Linked DNA regions of Xenopus tropicalis. The protein of the gene in region 1 purifies or fractionates together with the protein of each later gene. This does not show direct contact. Links are inferred from orthologs where the notes say so. Each region holds a gene or a part of one and is shown on either strand. Other genes may lie near its edges.

Evidence for each region. Proteins that work in one complex are often made in the same cells at the same time.
Region 2: the proteins of cdh5 (region 1) and ctnna1 purify together in Homo sapiens (affinity purification with western blotting; 4 studies listed by BioGRID and IntAct, counting the BioPlex papers as one, with this or other methods). This does not show direct contact. The link is inferred for Xenopus tropicalis from reciprocal best matches to the Homo sapiens genes CDH5 and CTNNA1.
Region 3: the proteins of cdh5 (region 1) and jup purify together in Homo sapiens (affinity purification with western blotting; 3 studies listed by BioGRID and IntAct, with this or other methods). This does not show direct contact. The link is inferred for Xenopus tropicalis from reciprocal best matches to the Homo sapiens genes CDH5 and JUP.

Annotation. Positions count from the first base shown.
Region 1 is NC_030680.2:57,853,916-57,860,267, forward strand, and holds the end of cdh5 (cadherin-5), read left to right. Parts: intron 1-2,347; coding exon 2,348-2,838; 3' UTR 2,839-4,157; downstream 4,158-6,352. UniProt on the Homo sapiens protein: Cadherins are calcium-dependent cell adhesion proteins. They preferentially interact with themselves in a homophilic manner in connecting cells; cadherins may thus contribute to the sorting of heterogeneous cell types.
Region 2 is NC_030679.2:19,993,394-19,999,745, reverse strand, and holds part of ctnna1 (catenin alpha-1), read right to left. Parts: intron 1,842-6,352; 5' UTR 1,840-1,841; coding exon 1,738-1,839; intron 760-1,737; coding exon 564-759; intron 1-563. UniProt on the Homo sapiens protein: Associates with the cytoplasmic domain of a variety of cadherins. The association of catenins to cadherins produces a complex which is linked to the actin filament network, and which seems to be of primary importance for cadherins cell-adhesion properties.
Region 3 is NC_030686.2:7,415,041-7,421,392, forward strand, and holds part of jup (junction plakoglobin), read left to right. Parts: intron 1-532; coding exon 533-652; intron 653-3,949; coding exon 3,950-4,100; intron 4,101-4,373; coding exon 4,374-4,495; intron 4,496-5,449; coding exon 5,450-5,489; intron 5,490-6,352. UniProt on the Homo sapiens protein: Common junctional plaque protein. The membrane-associated plaques are architectural elements in an important strategic position to influence the arrangement and function of both the cytoskeleton and the cells within the tissue.

The sequences.
Region 1 (6,352 bases):
TGTGTACCCTGGTTAGAGGAAGAGACATTATTAACTTTGAGAAAGGGTTCATGGGTGACCATATTTGATGGAGGATAGCTGGTGCTTTATGAGGAACAGTGGTTAAGAATACATTGTAACTGAATCTGAGGGAAAGAAACAGTCAACTGGGGGTAAGTGGCAATTAAAGACTGCGTTTTTAAAATATTCCTTCTTTGGTTTAACACACCAAGTCAGGATTTCAAAATTAAGCAACCTCAAACACAGCTAGTGGATGTGGAAATACATAAAAATGGCTAAGAACATGGATGCATTCAGGCACATTTATAGACGGTCCATACTTTAGTGTAAAATATTTTACAGTTCTTTTGGTTTGTGCAGTGGTAGAGCATGATTCATAAATAGACATCACGGTAGGGGAGACATGACATGATCAACATGCACCTCTGGCTTGTGCCTTATATACAAAGTGAATGACTAGGCTATGTACTACAAGAAGCACTGAAAATGCCACTTACCGTATATACTCGAGTATAAGCCGAGTTTTTGAGCACTAATAATGTGCTCAAAAAGGCACCCTCGGCTAATACTCGAGTATATACGGTAGTTACGTTCTCTCGGCCGTGCACTCGCTCACACCGCCCGCCCCTGGACATATGTTTGCACTCGCACCCCCCCCCTTCCCGTGGACGTATGTTTGTGCTCGCTCACAGCCAACCCCCACCGGGGACGTTCGGTTACTGTGGAGGAAGCATGGCCATCCAGCATCATCTATACCAGAGGACCACCAACTTTGTTAATCAATGAATCACATACAAAACATTTTACTCGCAGCCAACCCCCAACCCCACCCGGGACGTTCGGTTACTGCGGCATCATCCGGCATCGCCAGACAGTCAATAGCGCATAGCGAATGCATGCACGCATCCAGCACCGGGCATCCATCACTCGCACGTGGCGTGTGTGCGCGGCGGATGCCCGGTGCTGGATGCGTCCGCGCCCAATGGCTGGAAAGGTGCTGGATCACTGAAATAGAGTAAGTTAACTGAGTACTTAACAGCAAGACTTGGGGGAATTCTTCAACAGCACACTGTTGCAGTGAGAGGTGGACAGAACCCAGACACGCATTTGTAAGGGTCATCCCACTGCCTCCTTTTCTCCACAACCTCTACTCCACAGCAGAGCGTTTACTACTCTTCTTCTCTATGGGGTGACAGACAATTTGACTGAAGGGCCGGGTTTGGCAGCTTAAAGCAAGGGTAAAGCAAGTGAGTGCATAATAACACAAGGTTATTTATTACTTACAGTTGCTATGCCAACAGCCAATTAATCAGGAGGAGCAGTGATGTTCTATGGAATTGCCTGTCCAAATCCAACCATAGAATTGGGCAACTCCAAAAGCACTTCTGTCTGTTTACCCTTATTACATTAAACAACTACATCTAAAATTCTTTTCTCACTAGTAACTGTCACTGAGTATAGGATAACGTGTGCACTGCTTTCCAATTTTTTCCCCCTTCTTCAAGTGCTAAAAACAGACACTGATCTAAAGTCTTTGCATTACCAGGGCTAATTAAATACAATAATGTTGCACAAACTGAGGTGGCTTACCACAAGCCAGTTTTCTTATGGCCGGTCATTTTGAGTGTTTGAGAGACTGTATATACTGTATGTTGTTTTGCCAAACTCAAGGGTGGTTCTGGATGCTTCTCAGCTGGCCGAAATACACAGGTGGAGAAAATGCCCAATTTATTTATCTATTTTATTAATATATTATTTTTTCATCTGCAATGTTTTCTCTATCTTCCATGATGATGATAGCGTTTTGTGCAGGTGTGTTAAAAGAAATGGATGCCTAGGCTTATACTCGAGTCAATAAGTTTTTCCAGTTTTCTTAGGTAAAATTAGGTACCTCGGCTTATATTCGGATCGGCTTATACTCGAGTATATACGGTAGCTAAGGTGAGTCAACAGTAATAAGATTCCCAGATGGGAACAGCAGGCCAGCTAGTTACCAGTCCAGTCATTTTCGACCCCATGAGCTCCTAGCCCAACATAATCACTATAAGTGCCAACAAGCTTATTTACCTGATCATTTGGTATTAGAGCTAACCTAACAGAATTTAAAGCAATCTGAGCAACTTTGCCCTTATGTATGGCCATTCTACACACAATCAGGCCCCAGCCTGTACAAGCAGGCAAAGACATACTTGGCCATATAAGGCCAGCTTAATTATAATTTAACGTTATGCAATAAGGTATTGTTTTAAAGCACTACACAACAGTATAGTGCAAATAAATAACATTTTGATTACTAAATAAATCTAGTTAACCAATTGCTTTCTTTTTTAATCTTTATTACCAATAGTTGTCACAATATTGGCAGTTCTAAGGAGGATGCAGAAGAAAAATACCAACATCTTAGGGAAAAACACAGCAGAGATTCATGAGCAACTGGTCACCTATGATGAGGAAGGCGGTGGAGAAATGGACACAAACAGTTATGACGTATCTGTATTGAATTCTGTGCGCAGAAATGTTCAAAGGCCAAGGCAAGAAATGGAGGCAAGTCCCTATCTGTACGCCCATGTCCAAAAACCAACAAGAAATGGAGACATGTCTTTCATGATTGAAGTGAAGAAGGATGAAGCAGACAATGATGGGGAAGGATTACCATATGACACCCTTCACATATTTGGGTACGAAGAGTCAGAATCTATTGTGGAGTCACTCAGCTCTATAGAATCTGGGTCTTCAGAATCAGATATAGACTATGATGTATTAAATAACTGGGGCCCTAGATTTAAGATGCTAGCTGATCTTTACGGTCTGGAACCAATTGAAGACTTTCCTTATTAGTGCAGTACTAGGAAACAGTAAAATCTTAGATCATTTTCAATCTAGTGCCTAAATCAACATTCCAATTTACTTGGCAGTAGAGGAGTGACTGGACAGGGGTGGTTCTGGGGCTGTTGCTGCATTGGATGTCACACCCCCTTAACTCTTTGGCACTGGAGCAGGTCAAGGGGTTACCAAATAGCTGCACTTGTAAGAGCCCATTTTCCATTTTAAAAAAATGGAAATTTGGCTCTTAAAGTTACTAGAGGTTGCTTTTTGCCACCCCTGGTAACTGACCACTCACTGCCACCTGCTTCATGGCAGGATGAGCCATGTAACTGGAAATTACTGGAAAATCTTCCATATTCCCTTTTAAACTGTGCCTCAGTCAAGTCCCTCTTTTTTCTTCCCCCCTGCAACTTATGGGTCTGTTGTCACATTATTGCACATCAGCCTGTCCCCCGTTTTGTTTTTATTTTGTATTTGATTAAAAAGACATGAGCATGCCCTGAGAAAGTTTGAGACCAAAACTAAATTACCCGAATAAGAAGGGAATAAATAACTAATCACCTCCATGAATCAAATTAAGCAGAATTTATAGTTAATGTTTTTACATGGCTTTCAGATAAATCAGTCGGCTGGTAGTGCTATTCATAACCCGCTGAAGAGAAATGTCTGCCAGTGAAGGTGTTAAGCGTCATTAATCTCTATCCACCTTTAAAAAACACTGAATAAAAATAATTGTAATAATCTTTTTGCATGTAAATGGCTGTCACAAATTTTCTCACTTGCTTTAAGCAATTTTTCATTTTAGGACTACTATTAACACTATATATTAATCTGTCCTTCCTCAGGGATACATTTGTAAATAATTACTTGAAATTAGATTCTTCTAATCAGTTGGCCCTGACATTTAATTGGTGCTGTAAGAATAAGACACACCAGCTTAATGTAATTGCATCCTTTCTGGGTAACATTGAATTAGAAGTGCTAGGTTTTACATGGTGTGAATAAAATATTTTCTCATTTTCAGATTCATTGGCACAAATAACATCATCATTTGTAATATTTCTCACTAACAGTAACTCATGTTTTCTTTTTTTTTTTTTACAAACATGAATTTAGCATTAGTAGTATTTTTGTGTTGTCTGTAATTTGTACTGTCCCCATTTGGCTTTTGTTGTGGGTTTTTGTATGATGTATGATGCCTATTTGCATTTGTACAGGGCACTTGGGTCTGTATACAAATTTGTATTAAAATGAAAAAAAAAACACAACCATTGAATTTTTTTTATATTCATTTTAAAATGTAGTAATAAACTACTGAGACATGAAACAAAGAGTTTGTCTGATTTGATTTTTAAGTCCTAATACACCCTGTTTACTTTTTTCTCTTCTAAGAAACATATGGGCATGAGTCCTTATTTTTCTGCATGAATGGATTCAAGAACTTAAGTTGCCATATGGCCTCTTCTAATGAATACCTCTAGTGACAAAAAGATGGTACAGTACATTCATTTATTAAACAAATACATTTACTAAGTGTCTCTATAATATACAGTATGAATATCCCTGTTGTACTCAAGGAGAGAAGCCATAAACAAATACTATTAGTTTCCAAAATGACAAGTATGGATCTTCACAGGAAGGCCGGTGAGGTTGTGGAATACCCTGGTGGATTAAGTTGTGATGGCAGATTCTATTAATGCCTTTAAGACTTTAAGGCTTGGATGATTTCTTGGACAAGTGTGTGTGTTGTTACACTTTCTTTATTAACACATTGTATATATATATATATACTGTATATATACTGTACGTATAAGTTGTATATAAATAAAGATATATATACAAGAATTTCAACCTCTTCAAATGACCGTTAACATAATATTACTATAACTGCTTAGTATAATGTTCCTTTTAAAGGAAAAAAAGAAAAAAGCAGAGTATACACTAATACAGGGGTCCCCAACCTTTCTTACTTGTGAGCCACAGTCAAATGTAAAAAGACTTGGAGAGCAACACAAGCATCATAAAAGTTCATGGAGGTGCCAAATAAGGGCTAAGATTAGCTATTAGGTAGCCTCTATGCACACTATCAGCTTACAGGGGGCTTTATTTGGTAATAAATATTGTTTTTATTCAACCAAAACTTGCTACAAAGTCAGAAATTAAAAAATAACTACCTGGTTTGGGGGCACTGAGAGCAACATCCAAGGGGGTGGGGAGCAACATGTTGCCCCAGAGCTACTGGTTGGGGATCACTGCACTAATACAATGTATCTGTCAATGGAGCTCATGCAATTGAAATCAGTTTTTGTATTCCCCATTTAGCACTGCTGGTTCAGACTCTTGAAACAATGTAGCAGGTGACAAAAAGTCAGGTAATTTTAAGGATTTGGATTTGGTTCGGGCAGACACATGGATTCAGCCGAATCCTGCTGAAAAACGCCAAATCTTGGTCGAATCCCAAAACAAATTCTGGATTCGGTGCATCCCTAATTCAAACCCATTTCATTTTATGAAACACATAGGCCCCTTGTCACTCATAAAAAAAAATATTTTATTTTGCTTTTTAGAGCCAGCAATAATGTGTCCCAATACAGTTTAACACCCAGTACCCCTATGATGGCTGCTTTCATACAATACATACATAACGTATATAATCAAACTAGTTGGATTTTCATGCTTTCATGGATTTTCAACTAATTATCAAATCAAAGACAGTTGTTAGTGTCCTGTGCTCTCATCTGCTCTGCTATAATCAGCATAAATTAAGTGACTGCAAAATTGTATTTATGATGGATCAGGGTGAATTTTCAAAACAGTCATGCTACATAAAGTTTACTTTTCTTTACTTGAAATGGAACTTCAAGATTTCGAGAGCATAATTTTCAGGTTGCAACCAAGCAAGGAAAAGCAATTAACAGATGGTGCTAATATACTGATTGGGGTTTAAATCAAATCTGACTGGCAGCCATCTGAGAAGAAATCATGTTACTATATTTTAATAATGTTATTCTCATACATCAACACTTGATGGCAGTGTGTTCCTCCATCAAACACTTTCCTCATACTCTTTTGTTCTTTAATTTATAATAGTTCCAAATGTCTAAGTAATGTTTCTTTGTGTTTCCTAACAGTTGTAGTAGTTCTGTACTGTATTTAAATGATTAAATATAACAACTGTCTGGCTTTAAGGAGTGTTTTAAAAATGGTGGCATGTAGCATAAGAATCCTTCAGACCTGCAACACTGTATAATGATAGAGAGACACCATGTTCATGTGTTTGAGAAATGTACCCTGATAAAAACAATATGTTTCTGTATAGTGATGGGGTGTATCAATGCAATATTAAGAAACAGAAAGCTTTAGTGTTTGCAAATAGGAAAGACAAACAAGCACCAGCTAAGACATTAGCTGTTATGGCTACTGATTGGAGTGCTAGCACTTGGTTGGAGTGCTAATGTAACACTGAATCATATATTTTGAATCAAAAATCACTATCTATACTGATATTTTTTGTGTACAATATACA
Region 2 (6,352 bases), on another chromosome or scaffold:
AGTTTTTGACCTACAGAAGTCATAAATCATATCAAAGTGTAAGATTCTATTATATGTAATTGTTATATTTGTTACAAAGTATACATATTTGGCAATGGCGTGTTTGGAAGACATGGTACAAGTTTAAAAACTGGCAATTAAAGTACCACAAGTGACCAGTGAAAGGGTTAAATCTTAGCCTGCCCAGTTGATGTGCGGGCCTAAACAAAACATCCAAAGTAAGTACTTTTTCAATAAGCACATGCTTGAGGAAGCATAACCCCATATCACTACTACACTAGCAATTAGTCTAGAATGTGACAGTGTCTGGCAACCCGGCCTTTTTATCCCAAAACAATTTTCCAAGCCACAAGATTAGGGGGGTAGCGGGTCCAATGACAACAGCTGCTTAGAGAGAACAACTGGCCATGTGAAAGGGAATACAGGGTAAAGCCACAGTTAACAACTCGACACGCAAACATTTTTGTTTTTTTCTGGGGGATAAAGGAAAAGGGACAGGAAGAACTTTTACCATACAGGATTTAGTATTAACTATGCCATTTATAAAATACAGGGACACTTACCCTGTTTCCGAACATCTTCAACTGCTGCAATGAGTTCCTCTTTAAGAAACTGGCTCTCTTTTGCTATTTTGTCTCCTTTATCTAAAAAATTTTGGGTTGCTTGCTCCACTGATGCAGCCAAAACATGAGCTTTCTTTGAACGTCCTTTCTTCTTATTGGAGGGTCCTTTATTGCTACTATTCACCAAAGTGGTCACCTTAATATAGATAAATAGCAATTTGTGAGCAAACATCAAATTTAATATGCCTCCTAGTGCCTGGGAGTAAAAATTCCCTGATAAAATTAACGTAAAGGTGGCCATACACAGTAAGATTTTGTTGTAAAGAAGTATTGATCATATTAATGAATGTTATTCATTGACTGTATTGTTGAAACAACTGTGATAACTTGTTCTTTATATGAATTTGTGCATGCATTTCTTTTGTTGTAAAATTGCAATTTCTGCCTTTAATGCTTCTGCTATTTGTTGATAGCAAAAGCTTAGAATTTGTCATTCTGTTAACCCTCTTGACACTGGCAATCATAGCACTGCTGTAAAACCATGACATTAGCACTGCAGAACTGGTAATATAGAAAGTAACAAGACTAAAGTCAGATTAATTGCACCTTTCATTTAGACCAACTGATTAAATGACTGAACAGCAGGGAGTAAATCACAGCTGCAGCTCTTCACTTCCTTTTGATCGACCATTGAAGTTGTTTCCATCAAGAACAGAAAAACTCAATCTATGAGTACAGCAGGATTATCAGCTTGAACATCCATCTGACTTTCCACATATGCCCAGATGGTCAGGCATGACTGATATCAGCCAAAATAATAATTCTAGACATGCATGGCCAGAGTTCTTCCTTGGTGCCATGAAGGAGGAAGTAGCCTGAAGCCAGACATTCAGTCCACATTAACAGACTGCTTTCCTAGACTAATAACTTCAGGAGAGGTGTCTCCACCGTGCTCTCCAGCTTCTGAGCCCTTCTGGGTAAGTTAACAGGTCCAGCACAGTATAGGATAATGTACCATCTACAGAAATTCCACCAACCCATACTTAACGCCTTTTCAGTTTAAACTGCCTTATGAATTATAATAAGGGGGTATATTATCCTCCATAGTGTACTCAAATACAATACAGAGGATAACATACAACTGTCTAATATAAAAAAAAGATAATTTACTTACCTGAGTTACTAAAGGCTCAAGAAGTCTCTCAACAGCTAGTGTTCTTATTTCCAAGCTTTTTGGATCCCATTTGAAATTTATGTTTCCTGTATTAAGCGTCATGTCTGGGGAGAAAGGAAAAAAAAAAAATTCTGCATCAGTTGATAGGACATGGAAAGACTGAATTCAAGTAGAATGCTTGGCAGAATGGCTAGCACTTATTAATAAAATGGTTCCTCTACCAGAGGCTGTTAGCTGAAATTTCAAACTATATGGGCTCCTTGGTTAGATGCTAATCCAACACTTCTACTGGACAAAAGTGTGGCTCTCCCAACCTGTCAGGCCTGTATTATTAATGGATATGACCGTTATACTGTGATGCCAGTAAAGTGGTCCTCTTTTTTCTCTTAACTTGAACAACATGCTAGAATGTATTTCATCTTGACTGCTTTTGAACGTTCATTTTTGTTTTATAAAACAAACATTTAAACATACATACAACTTAAAATCAAAAAATCCTAAAGACACATCAGGTGCTCTCAACTGTCTGCATAGACCAAATCGGCTATAGCAGTTTGGCAACCTCACCAAACAAGAGGCTCTTTTCATTTCTCTCTCAGAAACAGAATTATAAACAATGTATTATACAATGTATAAGGAACAGTAACACCAACAAATTAAAGAGTTTTAAACTAAATGAAATATAATGTACTGTTGCCCTGCACTGGGAAAAGTTGTATGTTTGCTACAGTAACTCTACTATAGTTTATATAAATAAGCTGCTGTGTAGCCCTGGGGGCAGACATTCAAGCTGGAAAAAAAGGAGAAAAGGCCCCAGTTGTACCAGTGCAGAGCAGCAGTACATTATATTGGAATTTCTTTTATACACTTGAATTTTTTGGTGTTACTGTTCCTTTAAGCTACTGAGGTTACTAGCTGGCAATGTTTTAAACGGGACTAACTTTAATTGCGGAAGAGGGGCACAGTTAGGTATTGGGCGTGGAGGGCGGCAGGAAGAGCTTGGCCCAAACCCGCCTGTGACCCAAATATGTTGTGCGACTGTCGGCCCAAACTTGTGGCTTTCAGGCCAGCCCGCACATCACTATTGCACATCCAGCAACAATAGCCTGGGTGCTGGTAAATAAACCATATAGAAGAATGTAAAAGAACACTCACAGGATTTAATTATGAAACTGAGCCAAAAATATCCTCAAATACATTTTAATAGAGTTTAATAGATTCTGTTGTTTTTATATTGATTCCTTGGTTATTTTGCACACACACAGAATATGGGAAGAACCACATTCAAATATATATGCAAATTTCCTTTAAAAAGGAAACCAGTAAGCACCAAATTATGGGAAGACCATCTTACAAGCAGCACATTTTAGGCATATAATTTTAATTTTTAAATATTTTCTTCCTCTGTAATAAGTACAGTAATAAATACAGTACCTTGCACTTGATCCAAGCTTCCTAACTCCATATTTTCATTTCACATTGTATTATTTCACACAACAAATTCAAAAGGAGCAAATTCAATTTCACACAACTGATTGCTGCTCAAAAACAAGCAGTTGGCAATCTTGCCAAGTTGAAAACCCTGTCACTCGTCCAAACGATCAAATTAGCCTGGATTCTCCCGATATCGCCCACCCGTAGGCGGGGGATATCGGTAGAAGATCCACTCGTTTGGGGACATCACCAAGCAAGTGGATCTGAAGGTGTATGAGCGATTCTATTTGAGCGATTCTATTTCCCACAAATCCAGGTGTCATATTCCCCACCCACAATTAGAAATGACATTCAGGGCAATGGGGAAATCACAGCGACTTTGTGCTCAGTGGGTTTTACTTTCAGCGATTCCAATAGATTTGAATGACAATGCTTTCTTTGTAAAATCACTCGAAAAAGGGTCTCATAGCAATTCGGAGCAATAAGCGATTTGAAGTATCATCAGTTTAGGTACTGGCAATTTATATTCGAGGAAGTAAGCGATTTTCTAACATTTTATATATAATTTGAATTCACATTCTTGATTACATAGAAATGAGAATTTAATGAGATATGTTGATGGTATGTATTTGCAATAATAGCCTTTTCATTGAGCTGTCATTGTATTTTGACTTTTTCTTTATTCATAACCAAACAAATCATCTTCTCTAGTACCTCCTTTTATCTAGGAGGCCAACAACTACTTTTTGTTCACAAAACATGTCCCCACCTACAACAGTACACAGAACTAGACCTCTGACCAATCAGATCTTTCCGTACCTCAGGCAATACAATTCCAACAAACATGCACCTGGTTTTCAAAGGGGCTGAGCTTCAATTTGCCATCAGTTTACTCAAACCACATCTGCCTTATGATGCTTTGGAATGGTGGAATCTCGTAACTTCTCATCTATGCACTGTAACAATGTAGAAAATATACCTAGGGGTTTTACATAGGTGCTAGACTTGGTTATGTGGTCCTTGCAAACCTGAAGCACAACAGGTTTTGTTTTTAAACTCTTACAACCAGTGCCACCCTCTATTTAAATAGATATAATGTGTTTGGAGAAATGAACGCAGTCTTGCCTCTCAAATATCTAAAAAGGGTTGATTTGACAACATTGCGTCAACATACTGTATAGGAATTGTATTGTCTGCAGCTTGTCAGCTTCTAGCCAGCCATTACGCATCTTACAACTGAATACTGCTTTAGAGGACTGGTCAGGATGTACACAACTTTTTGCAAAATTATACTGAAAAATAAGGCCCCACATTAAAGGAGACGTATTGGATAAATTGGAAAAATGCTAATTTTGTAGGCAATTATGAATAATATACGGTGCTGGTTTCCCTTTGTGCTAAACATTAATCCTATCTGTAACAATGGCCCCTTTATTGGAGCTCCCTATAGATCCTATCATTTCTCCGTCCAGTGTGAAATGGAGTGGGCGTGTCCTAGCGGTCCCTGCCAGAAGCACAGTAGGAGGGGGAGAGCCAATCACAGCCCTGCACTCACACAAGCAAAGACCAGCTTCAGTTCCCTATCAGGTCAGCCTAGCTGCTGATTGGTTCCTATCCTACAGTGCCGCCGGCTCCCCAGCTCATCCAGAGAATTCAGCCAGCAGGAAGTGGAATAGATGGGCGGGGCTAGTGGGGTTTTTGTGGAATTTCTCAATAAATCAGTCAGAAACACAGCATTTTTAAGCACATTCCTTCTATATCTAGAGGAGTATAATTCACTGGTACATTCATAATTTTTATAGGATATGTCTCCTTTAAGCATATTTTTATTATTTGAAGTAAGATTTTCCAGTGATCTACTTTTACTTAAATTTTTGCAACAGGGTCTTCTATCATTCACATTAAGGTTGTCACCAAGTCATTGTCCAAGTAACTATACCAAGTCATTCTGTAACTTCTGTTCATAACAATTCTACTATGCAGATACCAGGAAACATCAGAATGGTAATAGTTTCACACAGGCCCGCTTGTTTGCCCCTATGCCAGCAATTGGAACTCCCTAGTTTGGCTGGGGTGCAGGGGTGACCAAATTGGGCAAAGATCCTCTCAGCTGGTGACCTTGCCAAAGAAGTGTATCTTAAAAAGTGTATGGCCAACTTAGTGCTTACTGTTACATGTTGCAGTATAAAGGTGGCCATACACAGGCAGATTTTAGCTGCTGATTTAGGTCCTTCAGATCGATTTAGCAGCTTTTCGGCCCATGCATGGGCACCCCTGACAGGCCTACCAGACCAAGATCTGACCTAAAATTGGGCAGATTTTGATCGGGCAGGTTTGATTTTCCGTCGCATTGGGGACAGCATCGGCTCCTTGATGCAGTCCCCGATCTGGCGGCGCCTATGTACGCAGTTGCTGAATTAGTGCAATATCGCCCACCTTTAGGTGAGCATATTGGGAGAAGATCCGCTCAATTGGCAACTGAGCGAATCTACTAGTGTATGGACACCTTTAGGCTGATGTCCTGTGGAGAGATTTAGTAGCCCGCAATAGATCTCTGCCAGTGTCGGACTGGGACCCCAGGGGCCCATCAGAAAAGCTTAGACCCGCTTTCCAAACTATTTTTCCTCCTTTCTTTACCCAACCTCTTTATTTTCCCAGTCTCTTTTATTTACATGCTAGCATCTATTCTTCCCTCTATTTCTCCTCTTTCTTCCCATTCAGAAATAGGGAATGAGCATGAAACAGGCCAAATGGTTAGGAGCAAGAGGGCCCACTTACACCTGGGCCCACTGGGAGTTTTTCTGGTATCCTGGTGGGCCAGTCCGACACTGATCTCTGCTGCCACAGGTAGCAAATATCTCCAAAATGCCTTTCCACCGGCAACAATATGAATTGCTGGTGGAAAGGCCTATAAATCGTTTCGGTTTTCCGAAGTTGTGCAAAGTTGCCTCCGGAGGCATCTTCGGAAAACCAAAGCAATGCGTTGGCCTTTCCACTAGTGATTCGTACTGTTACCAGTGGAAAGGCATTTTGGAGAGACTAATTAGAGATCTATCGCAGGCGACTAAATCTCTCCATGCCACATCAGCCTTAAAAAGGGCAACATACGAGCTTGTTCAAAAAGAGATAATGAATAGGGCTTCTGCTGGATATACTTTTTGCCATGAAAAAAAAAAAAAAA
Region 3 (6,352 bases), on another chromosome or scaffold:
GGCTAGAGGCATGGATTCAGCTGAATCTGAATCCTGCTAAAAAAGGCCGAATCCTGGATTCGGTGCTTTCCTAGATAAATAAGCAGCAAAGAGAGACGTATCGGCTTCCCCATCTACTTACTGATCAGATTGTGCCCCTGTGCATAAATCCAAATATTGTGGAAAACATAAAACCTGATTTTAATGTGTATAACTACAGTAAAATATGAAGCCAACATCATTTTCTACTTACCTACAGAAGACAAAAAAAAAGGGCAAGAAAGATTATTTCTTTACATAAAACGATTGTGGCCCAAGTAATTGCTTAGTATTTCTTAGCTGGGTCTTAAAGTATCCACAACCCTTAAGATGTGCCATTTATTAATTCATCTCTAGGACTGAACTGCTACCGGCCAACAGGTTATCAATTTCCCTGTGGATCTGACATTTACTAGATGGCATTCTCTCTGACATATGGTGTCTATGACATAAATGTTCTCAGAATAGAGTTTGTTTTTGAATTGTCTAGAATACTGATTTTCCTATTCTGTAGGATGGAGTGAAGATGGAAGAGATTGTGGAAGGTTGCACTGGGGCTCTGCATATTCTTGCCAGGGATCCTGTGAACCGTATGGACATCTACAAGCTAAACACCATCCCGCTGTTTGTACAGGTGAGTTCTGGTGCATATAGACAATGGCTCATTGCTAAAAAAAAACCACACAGAGCATGGACACTGCACCTGGTGAGGGAGAAGCTATTTGGTGTAAGTACTGTCACATTTTGCAACGACAACTCGCCACTTGTGTGCTATGGTCCTTAAGCAGATGTCTACAGACTCTTAGGCTAAACGCAAGCCAAGAATCAGTCCCTACACTGGCATTAGCCTTTCTCTGCACCTGGAGCCATTGTGTTGGCCTGGGTTCAGGCACGCAGAGTGGATTTTGGCACAGAAGCACGTGAGTATGCTCTCACACGGGCCAATGCAATTGCTCCAGGTGCCGGCACAGGGAAAGGCTGATGCCAGCGTAGGAGTTTATCCTCACCCTGCATTTATCTGCTGCCTTAGAATCAGCCCTGTGTGGCATACATTAGCAGTACAGAACTTTCTCTAAAACTCCAGCCTTATGGTTCTTCTCTAAAGGAGAAGGAAAGGTAAAGGTATCAGTGGTAGTTGTCTAGACACTCCCTCTTTTATTCTAGTTGTGTATCTGTTACCCTAGGCTGGCGCTGCTCTTCTTTAAAAAAAAAGCACCAACCTTGGGTACTGTTAAATGAGCACCACCGTGTTCTTCTGGTCTTTCAGGTGAGACCCCCTTTGGGCTTGGGCATACATTAGCAGTACAGAACTTTCTCCAGAACTACACATTTCCCATGCTCCCAACTATAAGTCACGTAGGGGACACCTGGGAGGAAGAAAGATTTATATATTTATTTATTTCTCCCTGTTTAAACATTTGGTCTCCCTCCCGTAGTTTATAGCAGTGTATTAATAATAATATAAGGGAGGGTAGTATAGAAGAACTGACCTTCAAAGTTCATTCCAGTTTGGGAAGGGGGACTGCCCCAGAATCTGGAAACCACTGCCTTAAGCTTTTGTATGGTAAATGATCACCTTTATTTTAGTCAGAGCTCTTGCTGTGATCCTGCTTGTGCTCGGCAAATAAAGGGTTAAAGTCATGCTGGCTGTAGAAGGAATGACATTACCTGCTCTTTGTTTGTTTGTTTGTTAATTAATAAATCATAAAATAGATTAGACCTAGCTAAAATACACACAGTGTCATGTGACAAATGAAAGTTCTTCACCATGAACAGAACTTTATAACTGAATTCTTTCTCCTAAACACACAAACAAGGGATACAATGCTGTAAGGGAAGCCAGTTTCCTTTATAGGCTTTTCCCCTTCACTTCCTGCTCTGCAGAACATGAGCTTTTTCCTGACCCGCAATTGTTTGTTCTATTGGAAAATGTAGCCGGCCATTCAAATTTAATGATTCCAGTGTGAAACAAGAATGTTAAATTTCTTATTTCTTGAGCTCCATAAAGCAATTTTTGCCTAAATATGAAGATTACAAATTACCCTTCATCATGAAGGTTTAGGTACTTAAAGGAAAACTATACCCCCCAAAACTAATACTTCACCAACAGGTAGTTTCTATCTATCTATCTATCTATCTATCTATCTATCTATCTATCTATCTATTGTCTGTCTGTCTGTCTATATTATATAATATCATCTACCTATCATCTATCTAAAATATATATTGTAATATAATGTGTGTGTGTGAATACTATACTTATACTGAGGATCACAGGCTTTGGCCCAATTTCTGTGGGATTTTGCATTATATCATAGGGGACTTGTGATCTCTGGAAATAACCAGTAGATATGTGATGTATAACAAAAATGATCTGTATAAGCAGAGGCTTATATATCCTGGAAAGAGTTAATATAAAGGAGGATGTGTATTCCTAATGGCGCAGAACCAAGCCGTTGGCGCTGTAGCGTTCCTACCTGCTTTCAGAGTTCTGCTGACTCGTCAGATTTGGATCTCAGTCCCACAGTAATGGCTTTAGCTTGATGTGAGTTCCACATACCTTAACCCCCAGGGCCACGACCCTTTCTGTTAGCCAAGGTGCAAGCCTAATGGGCTCCTCTGCTTCCAGTGCAACTAGAGGTCATTTATATGCTCGGCATTCCCAGCATTCCCAGTGTGCTCATGTAATGGGAGCCTTTAGGGGGATGCTGTCTCTCATTAATTAGTCATCAGGGCAGCTAATTGGCTCCATTAACTCACTTGATATCAGTAGCATAATGTATTTTAGCTCTTGTGTTTGAAATCAATCTTGGACATCGTCATTTTAATATATGCCTTACTTTGAATTGTGGGTATTGTTTCCTGGCTCTGTTTGTAAACCATTCCCTTCCTGAAAATTAGTTCCAAAACTTTGACAGGCGCCTGAGGTGGGGCTTAAAGCCTTGATTTGGGGGGCAAAACCTGAAGGCCAGTTGGGGACAGATTTGAGGAAAATATTTATTTGCTCTAAACAAAAAAATACTCATGGAAGTACAGCTTGGAGGTCAGTTAGAGTAATACAGGTATGCGACCCATTATCCAGAATCCTGGAACATACCCCGCAGCGCTGTACAATAAGTGGGTTCCATACATTGGACATACAGAGTAACATATAAAGCAATCAATAACCAATACAAGAGGTGAAGAGAGCCCTGCCCAAAAGAGCTTACAATCATTTTTAAAAATGTGAATTATTTGATTAAAATGGAGTCTATGGGAGACGGCCTTTCCGTAATTCGGAACTTTCTGGATAATGGGTTTCCGGATAAGGGGTCAGATTCCTGTACAGTAGTTCTGGTGCACGCCAGATATTTTTGACCACAAGAGAAGGGGAACAGGACACTCCAAAATATGCAAAAATAAACCACAATTTCAATTTTATTTTATGCATTTGAGGCACCTGCATAAAAATACCAATGGATGTGCCCCTGACAAAGGGTTGAAACACACTCTTACGCTTAATATGATACAAAATTGTTTATTTTATCATTTTTAGAAGTGCCGTGTTCCCCATTTACAGGTAACCCCCTTACAGCAATCCCCATTTATGGTGTGCCAGGCAAATACACATGTATAATTCCTAACTTCTAGATCCACTACTTCCTGTTAGTTATTTCCTGTCAGCTGATCTCTGAGGGAGCACACAGCCCAGCACAAAATGGTGGTTCAATGTGAAAGATGTAAAAGGGCAATACTTACTGATATATAATAATCCAGTTTGCTAAGATCTTTAATAGGCCACTTAATGTGATATAAACTATCTGTTTGTTAAGTATTCATTCTAGGGATACGATTATGTCAATTTCATATGGAATTACGACGTACTAATGTGATTTTAGTTGTAAGTCAGTAAGTCTGTGTATGTATAAAGTGTGTTTCCATTCTATTGCAGCTCCTGTATTCCCCTGTGGAGAATATTCAGAGAGTGGCCGCGGGCGTGCTGTGTGAGTTGGCTCAGGATAAAGAAGCGGCAGACACCATTGATGCAGAGGGAGCCTCAGCCCCACTCATGGAATTGCTGCACTCCCGCAATGAAGGCATAGGTGAGGGGGAAACACACACATATGAACATATGGAGGCTACTGTAATAACTGTTAATAAACTCTTAAGCTAAGCTCTGATGAGTCTGTTACGGATCAAAACCGTGTCCAGTTATGTACCAGCTGTGTGAACTTGGAACATTATTGCACCCAGTTCTGGTCTGAGGCATTCAACAGCCAACAGCTGGCCTGGATTGGAAGCACATACCATTATCGCATATGGCGTTGAGGTGGGGAAGAAATTCTGCTTTATTCACTATGCAATTTCTATTTTAGCCACATATGCTGCTGCTGTTCTATTCCGCATATCCGAGGACAAAAACGCAGATTATAGGAAGCGCGTGTCCGTGGAGCTCACTAATGCCATCTTCCGACAGGATCCTGCCGCCTGGGAAGCAGTAAGTACCTGGGATTTGGCATCACTATTTCTGCATTTGCTGGGGAAAAGGCTATAAAGTGCAGCTGGGCAAATATTTTGACCTATTTGTGCCTTAAAGGGAATCTAAACCTAAAAAATGAATTGATGTTACTTCATTACTTCATTTTCTGGCTTTAGTGGTTTCTATGATATTTGCGGTTTTAGACCTATAGCTTGTAGCTGTATGAGGCTTAAGGGGGTTATTCACCTTTGTGTTAACTTTTTTAGTATGACCGAGTGCAATATTCTCAGACACTTTGCATTTGGTCTTCATTTTTTATTTGTAGGTTTTTTTCAGCAACTCGCTAGTTTTGAGTTTCAGCAGCTAGGGTCAAAATTACCTTAGCAACCAGGGATTGATTTGAATGAGAGGCTGGTATATGAGTAGGTGAGGACCTGAATAGTAAAATAAGTTACTTTTTATAACAACAAAACTGGAGCCTCACAGCGCAATAGTTTTCTGGCTGCCGGGGTCAGTGACCCCCATTTGAAAGCTGCAAGGAGTTAGAAGGCAAATAATTAAAAAACGATTAAATAATCAATTAATAAATAACCAATTGAAAAGTTGCTTAGAATTATCCATTTTGTAACATACTGAAAGCTTAACGTTAATTGAGAATTGGCAGCCCTAGAGTTAACCGACCGGTGCATAGAAAGTTCAGAGAGAGCTGCTGAAAGCCTGGAAAATGTATGTAAACTGCTGAAGTGCGCATTTACATCCCCTTTATGCACACTGCATTTAACCCTTAGAGTTTGGCAGGGTTCAATAACGCAGAGAATGAAAGATTCTATACATCTGATCATTATTCCCAATGATAATTTGCCACCCACTTGCTGTGGGATCATCTCTTTCTTTGGCTTTTCATCAGCAGAATTGTGACTTCTTACCAATTTATTACTCACATTACATGCAAAATTGTGTTTTCATTTTCAGGCGCAGAGCATGATTCCTCTTAATGATCCTTATCCAGATGGTAAGTGAACTGAACATTGTTGTAGAACGGCAAAATACCATTTATGTTGTAAAATGCACATGCAGTTACTTACAATGGCATTTTACATTAAATTCATTGTGGGCAGAGCTGGATTAATACTAAATAGGGGACTAGGGGCGGTAATGCATTGGGGGCCCCCAGATCATCTTATCACAACTTTCCACAACGTGATTGGCAAAAAAATGTCTGTATGTGCATGAACTGCTTTCTGATTGGACGGGATCCAGGAGCGTTAACTTTGAACCTCCTGTCCAATTGGTAAGCAGTCCTACACAAAATGTGTAGGGCTTTTGGGCACCCCAGATATACTGGGTCAGATGTGTTTGAGCCCCTGAGTGAGGAAACAAAGCTTTAAGAAGAATAACACTATCTCTGTTAAAGGAGAACTAAAGCCTAACTAAAGCAGTAGGGCAGAAATGTTGTATATTCCCTTTAGCAGGGAAGATCTGTGCCCCCAAAGATGCCCCAGTAGCCCCCCCATATTCTTTTCTGCTGATTCCCAGCACATATTCTGTGCTGCTGTCACTTACCTGAGCTTAGGGACTCACCCACAATATACTGTATATACAGAATATAAATGTCACTATACGAGGCTGATTAGTAATTAATACTGATAATGAATTCATTGAAGACCAGAAACCCGTGCAATTAGCAATATAATTTTATAGTCAGCCCTGTACCATCAGTTTATATGACAGACCAGCCTTATTTTCTGCTAGAACTCACTGAGCATATGCACTATACTGGAGAGTTCTAACAGAATCCAAGATGGGGAGTTCCTGTGACCTATATCATTGCTACTATAGAGATGCTGAAACATTAGGCTAGTGCAGTCAGTTAAT